Linked DNA regions of Sus scrofa. The protein of the gene in region 2 binds, or shares a complex with, the protein of the main gene of each other region. Links are inferred from orthologs where the notes say so. Each region holds a gene or a part of one and is shown on either strand. Other genes may lie near its edges.

What was found.
Region 1: the proteins of AURKA (region 2) and TACC3 are in contact, whole or in part, in a crystal structure (PDB 5ODT), measured with the Homo sapiens proteins. The link is inferred for Sus scrofa from reciprocal best matches to the Homo sapiens genes AURKA and TACC3. Residues at the interface, in NP_001310232.1 of Homo sapiens: Leu130, Phe133, Glu134, Ile135, Gly136, Arg137, Tyr148, Leu149, Ala150, Arg151, Ile158, Val163, Arg205, Tyr207; in NP_001428248.1 of Homo sapiens: Glu523, Ser524, Phe525, Arg526, Pro528, Val531, Leu532, Gly533.

Annotation. Positions count from the first base shown.
Region 1 is NC_010450.4:824,040-828,251, reverse strand, and holds the start of TACC3 (transforming acidic coiled-coil-containing protein 3), read right to left. Parts: upstream 2,820-4,212; 5' UTR 2,401-2,819; exon of another isoform or gene 2,019-2,400; intron 1,447-2,018; exon of another isoform or gene 1,197-1,446; intron 697-1,196; 5' UTR 696-696; coding exon 534-695; intron 380-533; coding exon 237-379; intron 1-236. Other genes in the region: TMEM129 (E3 ubiquitin-protein ligase TM129), read left to right, coding at 3,070-3,274. UniProt on the Homo sapiens protein: Plays a role in the microtubule-dependent coupling of the nucleus and the centrosome. Involved in the processes that regulate centrosome-mediated interkinetic nuclear migration (INM) of neural progenitors.
Region 2 is NC_010459.5:56,958,827-56,962,468, forward strand, and holds part of AURKA (aurora kinase A), read right to left. Parts: intron 2,660-3,642; coding exon 2,468-2,659; intron 1,612-2,467; coding exon 1,473-1,611; intron 1-1,472. UniProt on the Homo sapiens protein: Mitotic serine/threonine kinase that contributes to the regulation of cell cycle progression.

The sequences.
Region 1 (4,212 bases), on a different chromosome or scaffold from region 2:
TTCATGCCCAGAGACAAACAAAAACCAAGGCCAAGTTGTCGGCAAGGGCACAACAGAGGAGTGGAGTGTGAGGTTTAAACTTCCCCCGTTTCGCAATTCGCTTTCCAGGAAGAAACGACTTCCAACTCCCACACAAACTTGGAGCAGAGACCAGGAGGAACCAGCTCGGACGTTTTCCTGCGGAGTCCGCCGGAGAGGTTACCGATTGCGGGTTGCCAAACAGCGCCAACACTTACCTCTCTTTCCGGGCCCGGCCTTGATGAGAGCTTTCTAGTCCAACGGTGTCCCCTAGAGCTGAAGAAGCGTCCAGCTTGCTGCCCATGCTGGGACTTAAGATCCGGTGAGTCTGTGGATCCCGCAGAGGTGTCTGAAAAGTCACCTGTCGGGGAGACAGGAAGGCACTCGTCCAATAACTCACACCTTCCCCCACCACACTAGAAGCCACCGGGCCCCGCCCGGCCAGCTGGCTAAGGCCCCGGGAAAGCAGGCCCCGGGACTGCACGTGTGACCCCCAGGAGATCTGCGGGGCTCACCTTCGTGGCTTTGGCTGTGCTCTTGGGCGGCACATTTTCTTTCTGGGACAGCCGGAGGACAGATGATCTTCCGGTAAGTTCCAGTGGTGAAAACAGGAAGTCGCAATTTTCTGTACTTCTGTCACCAGTGACATTTTCATCACTGAAGACGTGCAGACTCATTCTGGGAAAGCAGAGAGTTGTGAGTCAAGAGGAGGGCGGGGACACCCTGTTGTCTAGACGCACATATGTGAAGACAAGCGAGCTGACCCCACGGTGCCGCAGGGTGGACGTCCCCTTCCTGCACGGGCGTGTGTGTGTGTGTGTGAGACACCGCAGGCAGCATGTCCTCTGCCAGAGCGTGTCCTTATCCCGTTCTGGGGGGAGCTGCCCCTCCCGGGAGAAAGAGCTAGGAGGGCTCTCAGCCCACAGGGCAAGAAGGAAGAACAGGTCCTCGAAATAACTGGAACTTTGTGGGTAAAAGTTGGGAGACAGATAAGGGCTGATCTGTGACAAAACTGGCAGAGGCCTTGGCACTGGGGCTGGAGCAGGCAGCCGAGATGGAGGAGGGCAGAAAAGCAGAAGGGCAGGGCAGCTGGCTCTCTGCCCACCGACGGGGGCGCCAGGAGGGCCAAGGCTCAGAGGAGGAGCAGGGATGGTAACAAGCGGCACGTGCAGGATCACCTGTGGGGAGTTGAGGTGCTTCTACACCAGGGTCTGGAGACTAGAAACACACCAGGGGCCTCCGGTCGGGTCCACGAGGTTCTAGAATAGTCCTACTCCTCCTTCCCAAATTCATCATGGTCACCTACCCGGCATTCCCAACTTAGGAGTCACCAGAAAACTGGGCAGCACAGGTACCTGCTGGGGGTGGGGGCCCCGGGGACCTCAGCTGCAAGAGCAAAACGGCTGGGGCCTAAGGAACACGGGTGCCCTGGAACGAGGTGAGGTCAGGGGGATGAGCCGCCTGGAGGGTGTGGGGTTGGGTGCTGCGTGTGGAGCAGGGAGCGGGAGGAGGGAAGCAGGGAGCCAGAGGCTCTTGTCTGTGGCCAGGGGGGAGCGGTCAGCCCTGGCTTGGCCAGCAGGCCCACACGCGGCGTGGGGAGGTGGGAAAGGGAAGCCTAAGTCAAGGGGGACTACTGGGTTTGGCCTGGGGGACGGGGTGAAACGGGGAGGGGCCGGAGGGCCCTGGGCCACAGGAGGGAGACTTAGAGCACCCTTTCTGTGGGATCCCTTCACCTGGGGAAGGTGGGGGTGCGACAATGGCAGCCTCTACGGGTTTGGCTCCTACTAATGACGGGGGGCCAGGGAGGCGGCTCCTGAGCAGAAGGGGCGAGGCCAGCGCGGAGGAGGACTGGCGTCGAGGGCCTGCCGGCAGGCTCTTGAGAATCAGCGCTGGAGCCCAGGTTTCTGCTGCAGGTGCCGCGGGGTCGGTGATGACTCACAGGTGGGGCTGCGCCGGGAGGAGGGGCCGGGCAGCAAGGCGGAGGCTGGTCAGGGGCGGAGTGCCAGTGCGGGTCACCGCCACAGGGGGCCGGGGGCTGGGCGAGGTCACCGGGGAGAGGGAAGACCGGTGCGACCGGCCGGAGGGTCCTCGTGGAGGGCGATATAGGGGCCACTAGGCGTCCTCGGGAGGCAGGGCCGAGAGCCCACCGGCTCCGCTGCCAGCTGCGGCCGGGCCGGCTGGATGAGTGCGGGCGAGATGGGACCCCGGGGAAGGGGGCGCCCCGAGGTGGGGGGGGCGAGGAGAGCCGACTGTGGGCACCGCGGCGCCGCGGGAGGAGTCAGAGATCCGTGTCCAGGCCGCCACTGCGACAGGCTAAGGCCCGAGGACAGGCCAGAAGAGGCAGGAACGGAGCCCCGAGCCCGGACCCGGTCGCCGTCTTACCTGCCGGCCGCTGCGCGGAACCGAAGGAGCGGGAGGCGCCGTGTCCGGGAGCCCGGCTGCCCGCCGCCGATTCAAATATCGACGGTTGGCGCGTACGGCCAATCAGCGCGTGGCCGGGGCGGGACACAGGGCGTCGAAGGCCAATGGGAGGCTGCGCCCAAGAGGCGGCTTCCGCTTCCGGGCGAGGCGGCACGCTAGGCAGGGCGGCCCCTGGAATTCTCGGTAGCCCAGGCTCGTCCAGCAGACGAAGGTGAAACGCGGCTCGAGAGCGGGCGGTGAGTGCGGGGCCCGCCGTCGCCCAGGAATCTCGGGCTCTGCGCAGACGCGCCTGGGCTGCGCGGAAAGGCCCAGGGCCTGAGAGCTGCTCGCCCGAGTCTGTATTCCCAGCTGTGGAATGGAGCCAAGTTCAGCGCCGCCCTCAGGGCGGGTCGTGGGGAGGCTCCAAACCCTCGCGAGGACTGCCGCGGCGGCTCAGGACGTCTGGCCGCGAGCGGGGTCCTGGAACTTCATTTCCCAGAGCGCCCCGCGAGCGGCCTGAGGGTGGGGACTACACGTCCCAGGGCGCCCCGCGCGGCCCCGGCGCCTACCGGACGCGGACGCTGAGGCCTGTTTTGCGCCCCGGGGCGGGGGGCCTCGCCCGGACGGCTTCCCGGCGGCTACGGCGGCGCGATGGACAGCCCCGAGGTCACCTTCACGCTGGCCTACCTGGTGTTCGCCGTATGCTTCGTGTTCACCCCCACCGAGTTCCACTCGGCCGGGCTCACGGTGCAGAACCTGCTGTCGGGCTGGCTGGGCAGCGAGGACGCCGCCTTCGTGCCCTACCACCTGCGCCGCACGGCCGCCACGCTGCTGTGCCACTCGCTGCTGCCGCTCGGTGAGCTCGCGGGGCGCGCGGCGGAGCTGGGGGCGGGGGGGGGGCGCTGGAGGCCCATCTCCCGGACCCCAGGGGGGAAGAGACGGGGGAGCGCGCGCGGGCCGCAGAGCCGAGGCCGTGGGCTAAGCGCCCCGTGCGAGGAGGAGGGTGCTGGTCGCAGCTGCCTCTTGCGGGCAGCAGAACCCTGGGGGAGAGGATGCTCTGGTCACTGGGGCAGGTGGGGAGCTGTCACCTAGGGGCAGCTCCCAGGAAAGGGGCATGATGCCAACAGAGGTGGCCGGCCCCAGTCCTTGGAAGAGGGGTGCAGGAAGGGCAGGCAGGGAGGGCGACTGCAGTTGAGAGCGTCTCAGGTGCGGGGCGGGGAGAGGCGTGTGTGCGGCCAGGAAGCTCAGGTGTTGCCAGGGGCTGTGCTGGGCAGGTGAGCCAGGTGCTAACTGGCCTCTGGGAGGCTGACTGGTTGGAGAGTGGGGTCCTAAGCGCGGAATCTCTGGAGAACTTGGGCTCACACGTAAGTGGGGGAGGGCGGGTGGCGGTGGCCAGCCCTGTCTGGAGCTGCCATGGTGGACATGGGAGGGGTTTCCAGCTGGCATCAGGGAGATACAGCCTGGGCCAGTGGAAAGTGGCTGGGAAGGGCTGGGCTGGTCTGACGAGGTGGGCCTGTGCCTGGGGGCTGCCTGCCCCGTGGGGAAGGCGGGCAAAAGACAGCCCATGCCAGGATAGAGGCAGGGCCAGGGTGGGGAGCTGGTCGCTCCACCTAGCTTCCCTGCGGGGCAGGGGTGCCCGTTCACCGGTTTCCGGGAGAAAGGCATGGCTCAGAGTTTGGGTTCTCCTGGGGGTTGTGCCCTGGGAACTAAGGATCTCTGCAGCTTTATGGAGCCTCCATCTGCACCTTCCCAACAGCCTGTGTGTGTGTGGGGTCACCACCATCCCAGGATGGA
Region 2 (3,642 bases):
GCCATGGGTGTGGCCCTAAAAAGATAAAAGAAAGAAAGAAATGAGCTATGAAAAGTTACAAATGAATCTCAAATGTTATATGGTAACATATGTGGTTATATGGTAACTGGTTTTCCACAGGGTAACTGGTTACCAATTCTAGTAGCATATACACCATATACACGTCCACTGGAATTGAATGAATAAATGGACAGCGGATCGTGAATCCAAGTTCTTTCAATGTCACAGTGGAAGGTTACAGATAAACGAGGGGGGAGGACACAGGATCCGTGTGACAATGGACTCATGTGTTGCTTAGCAAGATACCGATGGATACAGAAATAGTTTCAGATACATGGATTACCATACGCACTTATTTCCTGGCTCTCTGTCAGCTGAAAGCTGAGACGTTTTAACACGCAATAGCACGAGCACATCTAGTGCCCAGATTTTGGTTTCTAACATTACCTTTTCCAGTAAAGGGAACCAAAGCTCCCTGGAGAAATAACCGATCACAAGACTGGGATAGGAAACGTATAAGATGGAGCTGGAACACCTTACGGCACCAGAAAACAAGAAAGTGCTTTTAAACACACACACACTGACAGGGACATGTCAAAAGGACACGGGAACCATGTCAAAGAGCTCCCAGTGGCCAAAGCTGAAACAACGAGAGCAAAGTGTATTAGATTACACAGAGTATAAAATGAGTCCATAGCAATAAATGATGGAGTAAATAATGGAAAACAGATACATCTCTGGTACAAAATTCCCAATAATTATGACCATGCTCTGCTTTATAGGACATGGAACATGACCACTCAAGGGCTGTTCCTTTGAAAGGACACAGCACGACAGGGAGGAAAAAAGAGTAACTTCACAGTGGAGAGCGTTGCCACTCCCTCCCTCCCTCCGCCAGGGATGAGGCCAACACTCAGGGCTAGGTCAGGTTAACAGTGTAACTCTTGACAGAGGAGAAGGCCTTTTCCCTCGGACCTTCCTCTCAAAACCCATGACCCTGATCTAACCATGAGAAGAATGAAGGAAATCTGAAAGAAGTGTGGATTCCAGTTAACAGCTATGCACCAATACAGGTTCATTAGTTATGGCAACCGGATCACGCTAACGTAAAATGTTAATAGGAGAAATTAGGTGTGTGTTAATAGGAGAAAGTCTGCAGTATCTCTAATTACTCTATACATCTAAAATTAATCTAAAATAATTTTTTTCTTTTTTTTTTTTAAAGAGGGCAACTAATTATATACATTTCCACAGACACAGCTGTGGAAACTAACCAAATATTCCACTTGGTAACTGATTTTATCTGTAAATAAAGGCACATCTATGTTGTTTTTGATTTTTCCATTTCAAATACTTGATCCTATTAAGCTACCTTTCCATTTGACAAAACCCCCTCTATTATAATGAAAGGTACACGGCTACGCGGGACAGAAGCGCAACAGAATTAGTCTGGACAACAAAAGCAAACTTACAGTAGCAGTTCTCTGCTCATCAAACTTTGACAGTTTCTGAAGTTCTCTATAGACAGCTCCGAGAGGTGCGTATTCCAGGATTAGGTAAACTCTGGTAGCGTCATGGAAATAACCATACAGTCTGAGAATATTTGGATGCCTGCAAGAAGGACGAACTCTCTAACACCGGGTTTGGGAGCTGATACAAGAATAAGTACTGAATAGCAAACAAACCCCTCCTGTGAACCCAGTCATGACAACTGCTTCTTGGCCACAAACACCCTCCCCTCCCACCTGGAGAGTCTGAAACTACGGATGAGACGCACCGTAAGAAACAGGTGTACCTCGCCTATCAGTTCACACGCATTTCACACGGTATCAATGGACCTTGTTTGGCTAAGACTATTTCCTTCCTTTAGGCCATCTTTGCTCTTAGGGGGAAAAAAACTAGGTAAATATTAAGTCTCTGCAAATTTGGAAAAAAAGAACAAAACAAACAAAAGGTAGACATGGCATCCCCACAGTAGTTTGATACCCTGGACACAATGAGACAGACAACACAGAAGCCATGTCTGACAAAAGCAGGTGTGCTGCTAAGGACTCTGGGCAGCTGAGCACAGCCTATATGAGACATTACCAAAAAATTCACTGAAAGCGAAAAAGAAGAAAAGACCCACTGGCTTAAGTCAACCTGCAGGCTGCCAGTTTGAAACCTGAACTCAAAAAAAAAAAAAAAAAAAAAAAAAAAAAGAGGTGTCATTCCCTTTAATTATCCACCAAATCAAAAAAACCCCCAAAAAACATGTCCAGTAAATTACTCCAATAACAAAACAAACCTTCAAGCAATGTTCCAGGACCACAGCACTTAAGTCTAAATCAACCTCTGAAGAGTGTCAAATTTAATCACTCTCTGCAGTGCTAGGAAGGCAGCCTTCTCCAAAGGAGGTTATTACAGTGAGCTCGTTAAATAACCAAGTTCCATCCATCCCTCTTCTGACATCGACCTCAAGACTTACCTAAGGTGGGACTGTATTTCTACTTCTCTTCTCAGCTGATGCTCAACTCCTGCCTTCTCCAGCTGAGTTTTAAACAATACTTTAAGAGCCAGGATAAACTTGCTTTGTTTTTCTCTTGCTAAATAAACATTACCAAACTTTCCTTTACCCAGCGGGCGGCCAATTTCAAAATCTTCCAAAGCCCATTGCCTTCTAGAAAAGAATTGAACATTTTAAAATGTGAAGAAAACACTTTTCTAACAATGTATGAGTGAGTAGCACACATTCTATAAATTATTTATATTATTTATAAAATATATATATTATTCTATAGATAATTTCACATTCAAAGTTGCATTCGGTATGCACCCTCTTCAAGAGGCCAATAACCACAATGAATGAGTCCACACAGACATCAAACCCTGCACCGCCACCCCGCCCCCACGAGTCTGCGACAAGAATAGTCTGGACTTTGAGAGTTGAAGCTCCCTGGGAGTGTCTCAAGGCATCCTGAGTTCTGGAGCACGGACCTATTACTGACACCACTTAAGTCCATGAAAAGGATTAGAGGAGTAACTGGAAAGGGAAGACTGCTTCAGAACCACCTGCGAGGAGTTCCCGTCATGGTTCAGTGGTTAACGAAGCCTACTAGGAACCATGATGTTTCGGGCTCAATCCCTGGCCTTGCTCAGGTTAAGGATCTGGCGTTGCCGTGAGCTGTGGTGTAGGCTGCAGACTCGGCTGGGATTCCGAGTTGCTGTGGCTCTGATGTAGGCTGGTGGCTACAGTTCCAATTCGACCCCTAGCCTGGGAACCTCCATATGCCACAGGAGCGGCCCTAGAAAAGGCAAAAAGACCAAAAAAAAAAAAAAAAAAAAAAAAAAACCACCTGCAAGCCCAATCAGACTAACCACAGCCTCCTCTAGCCCAGGAGGCGCCAACACTGGGGTAGAGCATCACTCCCGTCAAGCCAGCGGGATGGATCCCACAGGGTCGGGGGGCGAGAACCACCAGATATAGATTCCTGGGAAGTCTATTAGGCATCGAGAGCAAAGAAGGCTGTGGGTTCATTCCTGGCTCCTACGACATTCCAGAGTCTAGACAGTTCAGACATTGAGAGCAGAGGAAAATACAGCCAAGCTCTATCATGAAGACCAAGTGCAATAATTCTATTAACACCTTCAAAATACTCACAC